Linked DNA regions of Drosophila melanogaster. The protein of the gene in region 1 interacts with the protein of each later gene in a pairwise test. Each region holds a gene or a part of one and is shown in the gene's direction. Other genes may lie near its edges.

Evidence for each region.
Region 2: the proteins of CG10513 (region 1) and CG11726 interact in a two-hybrid assay, tested with the Drosophila melanogaster proteins (one large-scale study listed by BioGRID).
Region 3: the proteins of CG10513 (region 1) and CG13168 interact in a two-hybrid assay, tested with the Drosophila melanogaster proteins (one large-scale study listed by BioGRID).

The regions. Positions count from the first base shown.
Region 1 is NT_033777.3:25,275,095-25,278,861, reverse strand, and holds CG10513 (uncharacterized protein), read left to right. Parts: upstream 1-1,649; 5' UTR 1,650-1,667; coding exon 1,668-2,736; intron 2,737-2,801; coding exon 2,802-3,001; 3' UTR 3,002-3,072; downstream 3,073-3,767. Other genes in the region: CG10514 (uncharacterized protein), read left to right, coding at 1-89, 152-357; CG11878 (uncharacterized protein), read right to left, coding at 3,696-3,767.
Region 2 is NT_037436.4:11,393,000-11,396,473, forward strand, and holds CG11726 (uncharacterized protein), read left to right. Parts: upstream 1-1,690; 5' UTR 1,691-1,771; coding exon 1,772-2,647; 3' UTR 2,648-2,674; downstream 2,675-3,474.
Region 3 is NT_033778.4:12,252,009-12,256,501, forward strand, and holds CG13168 (uncharacterized protein), read left to right. Parts: upstream 1-1,983; 5' UTR 1,984-2,352; coding exon 2,353-2,356; intron 2,357-2,412; coding exon 2,413-3,007; intron 3,008-3,063; coding exon 3,064-3,213; intron 3,214-3,265; coding exon 3,266-3,599; 3' UTR 3,600-3,693; downstream 3,694-4,493.

The DNA.
Region 1 (3,767 bases):
TGAGACGTTAGAAAAGCTCAACTATCGTCAAAATCAGATTCCCAGTTTGCATCAGTTTAAATTGGAGGTGGAGCAAAAGAGATTCTTTGGTAGGTGGTATATTTAATCACAAAATGTAATTTCTTTTTAAATAATTGTATATTCTTTATAGCTTTGCATTCTACGGTAGTGGTGCAGCCAGTTATGATTAGCCAGGATCCCACGGATGCCTGTTTCAATGCCTTGATGAACGATGATGAGCGTGGCATTCGGTTTAAGAACCGATTATATAACAACCCTACAGTTCAACAAAATTTACATTCCCTGGTTCCCTTCTTCGATAGAAAGGGACTGCTGGAAGTTAACCAGACCTGTTAAGAGATTATTAGGATATGTTTTATTGGGCTTCCACGTTTTATGTCTATAAGTTTAAATAATAATAAACAATCTCATTTTAAATTAAATGTTTATCTCTGTTATGGGATATTTGACTTTCCAAAATTCAAGGGACTAGTGCAATACGGTTGGGACATTTTTGATCTGAGACATAAAATGGCCAACATGTCGTATAAGCTATTTTTAAAACATTGAGATAAGAATAACACTTGTGTTCTCATAAGTGGGTCATAATAATTTTTGGTATAAAATCAAAAAGCAAAATAATGTATCGTTCCTAAAAAAAATTAAAGAGAATATGTAAGACATGTTTTGAATCTGACATATGTAATGGATCGTTTTTTATTTATTTAGGTGCATTATCTCCAATTGACAATATCACAATTTTTAATTTATTAATGAGAAAAGAAAGAAAACGGATATGCGTACCTAATAAGTTGACCATCAAAGAAATTCTCAAGTTGGAAGGTATGTTACAGAATACATTCAGCAGGAAAACAGAAAAGGTATTCGCTCAAAAGTAGGCAGTGCCGTATTCAAAGCTCCTCTTGAAAATAAACAGATCGTAAATCCTCGAACAGATGAAAATAAAAATTCTGTTGCTAGATAAAGGAAGACCCGACATATATACAAATGTACATTCAAGATTGTTATCGGCTACACCTGAAAGTATGCAGGGGAAATCTTATCTCCTCTACCCATTATCTTGGCACTTGAAAACTTGTTTAACTATTTTCCTTCTGGGCTATTCTGTTTCGAAAATCCTTGTGAAATTCAAAGTTTCCGACTGATTATTATAAATACGTAGAACGTTAAATACTAGGAAATAAAAAACGAAACCATTGTAAGTCTGTAAATAGCTTAACTATCCGGCTCAACTATGCAAATGGATGGACGGCAGATGGATTTATGGGCTGTGAAGTAGATTAGTTTGACGCGAGCACGAGAGCGATCTTTAGACGCCACGTCAGCACCATTCGGCATGAATTACGGCGGGCACACTTACATCATATATAGGAACGTGCACCGATTTGCGAGATGTGGGGGTGTTATCTCACCCTGTCAAGTGTCGCGCTCCGAGATCTGCTTCTATCTAGTCAGCTTTAGATACTCACGAATCTCTGTCGTATGAATCGAAATCCACGGGCAGCAGCTACGTAATTGTCTGAGCCAGCTTGCTTTACGGCTACCATAATGTGGGATCTGTTGTCGGCGAGATTGCGTCTTCCGGCTGCCTATAAATGGGGCCTTCGACTGGACCAAGTGATCCAGAACACAAGTCGAGCATCATCATGGTGGAGCAGGGCAAGGAAGACGCTACCGAATTTCATCCGGCGCCAGAGTGGCTAGATGAAACCTACTTGGAGCGACTGCTCCGGGATTTGAAGAATGATCCGGGACTGAGGATCACCGATTTGGTGATCAAGCCCGCCACTGCCAAGGGTGACAATTATGCTAGTGTGATGACACGCGTGCGGATTTTGTTCTTGAAAAGTGGCGCCAAAAGCCCCGAGACTGAATACTATATTGTGAAGACCACCTATGAGAACGATGCCTTCGCCTCTGGAATATTTTCCCAGTACCAGGTTAGCACCACGGAAATGCGTATGTACGAGAAGATCCTGCCCCAATTGAGCTCGCTCATCGAGAAGACTCGCCAGCCGGAAAAGGTTTTCGCCAAGACATTGCATGTGGACTACGAGCACGAGGCCATCATCTTTGAGGACCTTGCGGTGACGAAATATGTCCTGGCCGATCGTCTGGTTGGTTTCGATCTGGAGCACACCCGCTTGGGACTCCGAAAGCTGGCCAAGATGCATGCGGCCGCTGCTGTTCTGAACGAACGTCAACCCGGATTGCTGACCAAGTTCGATCACGGCATCTTCAATCGCCACACCCAGGCCTTTGCACCCTTCTTTGTGAATACGGTGGGCGTGGCGGCTGACTTTGCCAGGGAGTGTCCCGAATTGGGTGAGCGGTATGCTACCAAATTGAAGAAGCTGCAGGAACGTGTAATGGAGTACTCCACAAGAGTTTACGATCCCCAACCGGGAGATTTTAATACATTGGTGCACGGTGACTACTGGGTGAACAATGTGATGTTGCGCTACGGCGAAAATAAGGAGCCACTGGACATGACTCTCATCGACTTCCAATTCTGCAGTTGGTCCTCGCCGGCGGTGGATCTGCACTACTTCTTCAACACTTCGGTGCAGGTCGATATTCGCTACGAACAGCAGGATGCCCTGTTTCAGTATTATCACACGGTGCTCGTGGAAACGCTTAAGGATCTCAACTTTGGTGGCTACATTCCCACATTGAGGCAGTTCGTCCTGCAGCTCGAAAGGGGCAGATTCTTTGGTGAGTCCCATCTGGAATGATTTTCAAAAACCCATTATAATTGTTTATATTATTGTATCTAACAGCTGTCACAGTCGCTCTGGTCTGCCAGGCCATATTGACCAATGACCAAAACGCCGATGCCGACTTTAATGCTTTGATGAAGGATGACGAACGAGGCCGTAACTTCCGGAAGGTATTGTACACCAACAAGAGGTTGCAGGACAATCTCAAACGCGAGCTGCCACGCTTCGATCGGAGTGGTCTACTAGACGTAATTGACTGAATGGAAGCCATCATATACTACGAGTATTTGATAAAAAATAAAAACAAATTTTATTTTGAAGTTAAAACCATATGAAAAGCAGTTCATTTTTATTGCAAGTTGGTAAGCAATAAGATTAGAAATAGAACACACAATGGTTCTATTGTAAATGTTTGTATTCATAAAACTATATTAAATGTGACGTTTTAAAGCAAACGATAAGCGGGCCAACGGTGCGTATGAGTTATAAGGGGGACGCAACAATTCACTTACAAGTTTTTTCCTCAGTAGTACACCTTGACTTGTTAAATACATTCGTATTCGTATTTATTTGTTGTAGGTAAATATTAGTTTCTTTTATTAGCTAAAACATCTGCGGCTTATCTTTTGGCGTATCGCGATTGTTTCTATTTCACCACGATTCAAGGGCTTGTAATTGTTATCTTCTGAGATTTTTAGTATTGCTTGCACCTTTTGTTTGTCAAGAGTTTAGCACTATCTTGCCGAAATAAACTCGAAAGCGCTATTATCAGTCATGAACACTGTATTTCATATAAAAAGGTCAGTTATTGCCGAATTACACACATAAAGTGCAATCAAGCTATTAGATAAGTATTTTCCCAGGAAATTAAAAGCAACGACGTAGTTGAGCCAATACGTAGTAGTACTTAAACTTTTATTTATTTTAACTATTTACACAAGTTCAAGATTATCATTACATGTCATCCAGCAATCCAAACTGATCCAGAAAAGGCAGTGTGACACTTAATTTCTTTTTTATATTTTC
Region 2 (3,474 bases), on another chromosome or scaffold:
TTTTTTACACCTAATCCAAATCATACAACCCTATTCAATTATTAATTTCGATGTGTTGCCCTCTGGTGACCCACAAAGGAGACGGTAGAGTTAAAGATGCCTTGTAGATAGATAGGGTCTACGGACGTGTTCGTCTGGCCCCTCGATATGAGAATTATGGGACACGTTGCTATCGCCAAAAATCTAATGCCTAATCCTCGAAATTAATTACCTTCGCTGCACCTTTGCCACATTTCATTCAGACTGTTTCTATGAAATTAAGCGAAAAGAAAGAAAATTCCATGTAGCTGAAAGCGATCCTAGTGCCCAGATACGAGTAGCTCTCCAGACATCGTACTTATGCCCGTGCACGTTCCGTGGTGAGAGCATCAAGATAGTGTGGAAAAAAAACGTGAAGGCGGAGGCCACTTGACGCTTCCTTCGTGTACACACTGTACTTGCACTGAAAAAAAGAAATGAATGAATAAAAGAGAAGTTCCTTTTTGCAGAAGCTACGGAATATTGAAATATTTGCTACTTCTATGAGATATGGTAATTATAATATACATATATACAATTTAATTTAATATTAATCTAGAATAATAATATATGTATATAGGGCTATCATTTTCAATGTTATAATTTCTAAATGTTGATGTTTATGATATAACCATGTTTTTGAGTGTGGATTTCTTTCGTGTGGAAGTGGAACCCTCTCTGTCTATGGCTTGGATTATAGATGACCCAGGCATCGTCAACTTCATCGTCATGTAAATTTTTGAAATATAATTGGCCTAATATTTTAGCCTGTCCGCTGTCTGTTGGTAATACCCGGTCCCAGACACGTACTACGAGTGTGGCTCGAGGCCCCTGGGCAACAGGCACTTGGCTGGGTTACTTGGCCCGAAAGCCCATAACACTCGTACTGGCGCACTCATGCTGCAGGCCATGATTTTTATCAGTTTACCTTAGTTTGTGTTTGGCCAACGCACCCAATTTTCCACGGAATATGGGTGTAGCCCGTTGCCAGTTGCCTAATGTGGAAACCTCCTTCCATCCTCGCTCGTTTCGGCCCAACCCAACCCAACAAACCAACCGTACCGACCAAACTAACAAATAGCAAACAGAAAACGACACAATCCGTGCATTAGCCAAACTCAAACTCAAACTACGAAACTCCTAACTCAACTCCATGCCACTTGTTTGCTGAACTTTTGATATTTTCCAACCGACGCCGATAGTTGCCAGTTGGGATCCGCGAACCTTGGCATTTGTCTAGTCCGATGGTCGATATATGTGTATAACTGAATCTGTGGAGCAGGTGCTGCACTGAATGCGATCCGCAGCCTGGGAATATTCAATCGAGCATTTTGCCTGGCCAACCAACTATAATTATGCATTGACAGAACGCGAAAAAAGCAATTTATTATTCAAGAATGAAACTTATGCTGAGAAAATGAAGTATAAAGCTTGCTTTATGTAAAACAATCATGATTTTATCAGGATTTAAGACATATCTTTTTTCATTTTTAAGTTGATGAATCAATAATTCGAGTTCATTAGCAGCTAGAAATATATACAATTCAAAAAGATTCGTTTAATATAAAATTATAATCATCATAATTCAATAATTCCTTTACTTATAGTTGTAAAATTTAATGTACACAGAAACATTTTTGTGCCGAAATTGGCATTGCTTTTTGTAGCAGAAAACATTCCCAGTTTTCAAGGAAAATACACCCACGTTCTCATTATATCAATAATACATATATTCTTTATTTGTTGGTAACTGATGGCAAAGATGTCCAAGTCATCGCGTAGCTTCAAGCTGCCACCAGTCAGCTCCTCTTCCGTGTCCTCGGTCTCCGGCAGCGAATCCGGGCAAGGATTGGAAGACATGTTGCACGTGACAAAGGTGCGAACTTCCCAGGTGGACAACGCAGAGCTTTTCATGTACGGCGACGGGCCCAAAAAATCGAATTCAGATCTGCAGAAAAAGGTCAGTACACCCGATCCGGAAGAGGAGGTGTCAATGGAACCACCATTTGTGGCATTGGTCAGCAATTTGCCAATGGAGTGCACTGAAGGCGAGTTGCGGAAAGTGTTCACCAGTTTTTCGATCCGTTCTCTAACCATTCCGAAGAAGGGAAAGCGACCCAAGGGATTTGCGTATGTGGAAATGGATTCCCGCGAGGATCTCGTTCGTCTGCTCAAAATGGATAAGCTTAAGTGCCGTGGTCGTTGTCTTATGGCCAAAATAGGCCAATTGCCACCCGAACCACCGACAAAGGCAGCTGGAGATGGCTTTTCATTATTTACTTGTTCAGGCAGGCAATTTGATATAAACTCTAGCCATTATTCGGCCAGTGTCAGTGATCTCAGCACCATCGATTCGCCAATCTCTGCGAGGAACTCACCATTTCCTTCGGAAAGTGAGTCGTCCTTTTTCGGCAGGGATAATCCTATAAAAAGAATTCCTAGTAGCACTGAGGAAGTGGAACGCCGTATGCAAATTCGTCTTCAGAAACTAGCCGAATTCGAAAATTCTGAATCGGAGAGAATTAAGAGTGAATGCGAGGATGATCCGGATGCCTTCATGTCCTGGAGCGATGCCCTAGACGAGATTAGAAAATCTGAAACTGATTCCTCAAATCATACTGAATCCTAGCAATAAAAGCATGATAATTGAATGTTCAAAATTACAAATTTTTGTATTTATGTAATAATTAAACTTAAATGCAAAAATAGTCCATATATATGTATTAAGCTGACTGCCGCTTATGAATTATTAAAACAATAGGGTTTCGATTTATTTTCCATTTAAAACCTGAAGCCGGGAAACCCGTCCAATGTGCACAAGAATTATGGATCCAAAGTGAGCTAATTAACAAAAATGAAATGCTGTTAATGAACGGTGAAGTGTTCATTTGCCCCTTGGCAACAGCTGCAGGTTACCAAAACCAAAAACCAAAAAAAAAACCGAAATTAAAAGAAAACAATTAATCAACAATATTGACTTAAAGCTGTCAACTGAATTAAATTAAACTGATTTATTAATGTGGCGACAGTTGGGCGATTGAACCGCTGACGTCCAAAATGCGATGGTGACTGTGATTTTGACGCTCCGCCACCCAAAAAGCCGTCCTCTTTGGGCCAACAAACAAAGAGCCAAAAACAATCCAGTAAAGCATACGCTAATTGACCAACTAATTAGCGCATTTAATGGCTGCCACATAGATGTACTTTTTGGTGTATGTGAATAAAATACGGTCACCGAAACAAGAAAGACAGACTTGCTAATGAAATTAACGTAGCGTGGTTAATAGTTTTGCCAAATTTGGAAAATTGTTTTCATTAAATCGGTCGGCTTTAGTTACCCGTTCTGCTCTTGGCGTCATCTTTCTCATGCATTATCTTTATTTCTTTATTAATTTTATTTGTCTGTTAATTCCCGGTCTGCACTTAATGACTCCGGCCCTTGGAGGCACGATTTTT
Region 3 (4,493 bases), on another chromosome or scaffold:
CTTATAATCCCATCTCAAACTACCACAACCTAACACGAATCTAGATCTATTTTCTTTAAAGCGAAACTACCGCAAACTAAATTCGTATTTTATCGTGAAAATACCAAGCCATCCTGCTCAAAGGAAGACCAGACCCAGGGGCATATCTTTAGCTTCCGCTGGTACGAGACCCAACAACCTGACCTTCCCGATGGCAGCCCGAGCATTATAATAACACTTTCTCAAAAAGGTTCTTTATGGGGTTTCCACCCCATTCCATTCCATTCCCCATCCCCACCATTCCCTAGCCACGAACCACCACCCACCATTAAGCACAGTTAGTTAGTCGTTTCTTGTTTCTCGTTTCCCTTTCCTTGAGTCCATTGTTCCGCGGTATCTCCGCTGTTCTCGCCTCTCCCTCTCTGTCGCCCACTTCTGCGCGACGACTATGGCCAAAAGTAATCTTCCAAGGCAAATGTGAACCACAAACAAATTTATAGCTGCAATGCGGCCAGGCCGAGCATAACGGGCCCACATTTCTGTGAAATCTATGTGAGAGCAGATGTGCAGAGGGGATGGAAATGGAGAAATAGAACTCAAAAGGAAACTGTCGAGTGAGGACGACTATAAAAATATACAACAATACTGCCAAGGCAACGGGACATAATGAGCCAGGGCCAGACGGCCCGAAACGGTAAATGGTAAGCGGTAAGTCTCTAATCGGTTAACGGTAAAGCCGAGCTCAGCTGAGCGAATGTGGGCCACCAGCAGGAGAGCGAACCATTTTGGCTTTGGATTTTTGCTTTTGCCCTGCACCTCCTTTGCAGTACCGTTAGCGTTTTTCTGCGTTCGTGCTTTGCATGGCCATTTGTTACGTATACGTGTGCGCAAGACTCTCGTTCTCTCTGCAGACTTGCCTTATTTGGCTGCATACTGTAGGGCGCTCTCCCGTTACTCCTGAATTTCAAATTTCGATGCATAACTTGAGGCGCTCGCTCTCTCTTTCTGAATCTCTCTCTCTCTCTTGTTATGTCCCTTTTTACTTTACACGTTTTGCTGCACACTTTGAAAGCACATTCTCTCTTCTTGCTCTCTCTGCTTGTTTATGCGTCATTTCTTTTGGCTTTTTCTCACACATCTCTCTTTTTGCAAAGGCAACAACAAATATTATGTCTTGCTCAATTTTATTTTTCTTCCCTTTCATCTTGCCCTTCCTTTTTTTAGTTGGTTCGCATTGCAGCATTTTATTTGCTAGCTCATTTATGCAATTACTACTGCCTTTAGTTATAACATATTATATATTTATTCATTTTAAGAAAAAGTACTGACCCTTATTATATTATTACTTCGTCTAAGTAACTAAAATTTATTTAAAATTAAATTAGGTAGGATGTGCTGAGACTCCACTGTACTAGTGAATCCGATTTTTGGCAGATTGCAGCGAAGGGCTCCCAGATTACATTCACTCTGTGGCTCCCCCTTTCATGCCAGTTTCATTAGGTAGATTTTCCACCTGAGTGAGGAACATTTCACCACCACCACCAACCCCACCCACCAACATTGTTCTGCATTCACAAGTTCGTTTCATGCTCTTATGGTTTTCTTTTTTCCCAGCAAGCCCCTCTGCAGCGCATTTTCCCTCGTTTGCTTTGCTGCAGCAGCTTTCATTCATGCCACGTCAGTTGACATAATGCGACATGGCCACACACAAGCAACAAGCCACCCACCGAAGGCGAGCGCCCACCGCCCCCTAGAAAACCGCCCCACACTCTTCATTGTCGACTACTGCACTTGGCAAAAGTTTCTACCAGTCATTGCCATGAAAGTGCCATTCAAATTTACCGCCCCTCGCCACGCCCCCTTCTTCAGTTGCTCCTTGATCGAAAGGGTTTCTATTTGGTATATATTCTTTGGCTTTGCAACCAGGCAACACGGTCAACATAGCAAGCCATGTTTGTTTATCCCCAAAAACAATAACAAACTCGGCTCAGAATTCAAAAAGACCTCGACACAAGCATAGCCAGAAAATCGGAAAAACATAAATTATAGAAAAAACAAAAGAAGCATAGAAGTTAAGAATATTCAAACAAGTGAAATACGCTCAAGAACATTTAATGGAAAAAAAAGCTTCACTTTCCAGGTTGCGGCAGATTAATTGCACCTATCTGCTTTAACTTCGTGATTTCGTTAATAATAAATAGAAAATTCCTGTTGTATCCGAGAGTCGTTTAAATTAATACATTTTAAAAGAACCCGGCACACAATTATATCGCAAAAAGGAAATTTTGTAAAGTTATTAATGTCTGTGTAAACGAAAATCTTTCAATGAGGATTTTATATATGCGCCAGGATCCGTAAAGCTGCTAAGTAAAAATGGGTTAGTATAAAATGAATGTTTTAAGACAAAACCAGTCATATCCTTTTTCCTTCCAGATACCACCGCCGAACGTCAGGTGAGACTGGAAGGAGTGGAACGTGTGCTCAAGATGTCCCAGGAGCGCATCAAGATAGCGATGATCATACCGAAGCTGCTGGAGAATCCCGAGAAGTTGAAGAGCGTCCTGAAGGACACCTGCTATGAGGAGGTTCTCGAGCCCATCGATGACATGATCCGCCACCTTGGCAAGCAGAGTGGACGTTCCAAGCTGCCACATGACCACACCACCATGCGAATCGTGGACTTCTTCCTGGTCAACCATAGCATTCATCGATTCTTTCCGCACTTGAAGAAGAACCTAAACGAAAGGGATCGCCAATTGCTGGCCGCCTTTCACTTTCTCCTGGAGAGCGCCCACGTCCATCTGCACCGATCCTCGCGTAGCGAGATTACCAAGGAGCGAAAGCTCCATGCCATCTTTCATCAGAATGTGGACATCAAGAAGAAAATCAAGGAACTGAAGGCGAGCCTGGCCTTCCAGAAGGTGATTGGCAAATGGAAGACGGCCGCCAAGGGCATCTATCTGATGAAGGTCGAGGAGGATCTGGCCAATAAGAAGTGGCAGAACAACGTGGCCATTCAGAACGAAATGTAACTCGGATTTCTAGTTCTAGAAATTCTTATTTGAATATATTTACAAATTACAGTGAAAAGTGCCATCGCACGATGCGAAGCTACCACAAGAGCAGCATGGACAGGCAGAAGGAATTGGAGGAGGAGCTGCAGAATGCCCGGGAGAGCTACGAGAAGATGACCAAGAAGCATCTGGCCGAAGAGCACGAGCTGCGAAGCGAAAAGTAAGCTACAAATCGAGTAATTTATTATTTAAGTGCTCTCAATCCTTTATAGAAACAAATTGCTCCTGCAACTGCAGAGTATGCTTAAGAAGTACGATACCAGCCTGGGCGAAAAGATGCGTGAGAATTTGGTGGCGGAGGATCAGTATCTGGCTGCCAAGAAGGTCCTCGACGATTTTATGGTCCAGTACAGGCAGGAGGAGCGCATCTACAAGAACATCGTGGTCAAGCGAGAGGAGGAGGAACGTCGCGTGCAGCAGGAGAAGCTGGTCATCTTCATGATGAACCGGGCGGCGGGCAAGATTCAAAAATACTGGCGCAAGTGGAAGAAGGATCAGCGCAAGAGGAAGCGCCAGGGAAAGGGCAAGGGCAAGAAGGGAAAGTAGTGTCCCAAACCGGATCTCTGTATATTTCTACATTGTACAATTTATATGTAGAAATACGAATATATTCCAACCTTCTACTACTACTAACGTGTATATATGTATCCTGTTTTCTCATTATTTTTTAAAACTGTCACATGCTAAAAAGTTATGTTTGCTTGAGCTCATTTGTTGTTTGCAAGCTTTTGTGGCATGAAAATCACTAAGCATGCATAAGTACCCATGTATGCAAATTAATATTTCCATAAGAGAAAAGGCAAATGTTTACTCGCAATTAAATCGTGTTTACTTGGCACTTGACAACACACAGAAATTTTCTGGAATTTCTTATATATTCTAGAGTAAAGAAATGATTATTTCCTTTATTCAGCAAGGCTAACCAATTTTATTAAATATTTTTCTATTGAACTGCGATAAATTTCGCCTAAGACATTGTCAACGCGGTTTTTTCTATGGGGTCAGAGGGCGAAATGTGTGGCTTCCCTGCGATTGCGAAAATCCAAGAGAGAATGAAAACGCCTGGCAGAATGTTTACCCAACACGCACACACACACACACACACACACATACAGCGATGGAGGGAAAAGCCAAATTTTCATGTCTTGCGGGGCGAACGAAAAATGGCGCATTGCTGTCGTCGCCAAGCGACAACGACTACGACAACGACAACTACAAACGCTCTTTTGGCCCGATGTTTGCTGCATTGTTACTTCATTTTCATTCTCGTTTTCGTTACCTAGCCATCGCTATTGCCACACCATCACCCACCACCCACCGCCCAACGCCCAGCTCACACCGCACCACCAACCCTTGTGGCATGTCTAATTTTCCAGAGGTTAACATACTTAACTTGTTGGCATGCGTTGCAAATGCGCCAAGGCTGCGTTGCACCAAGCG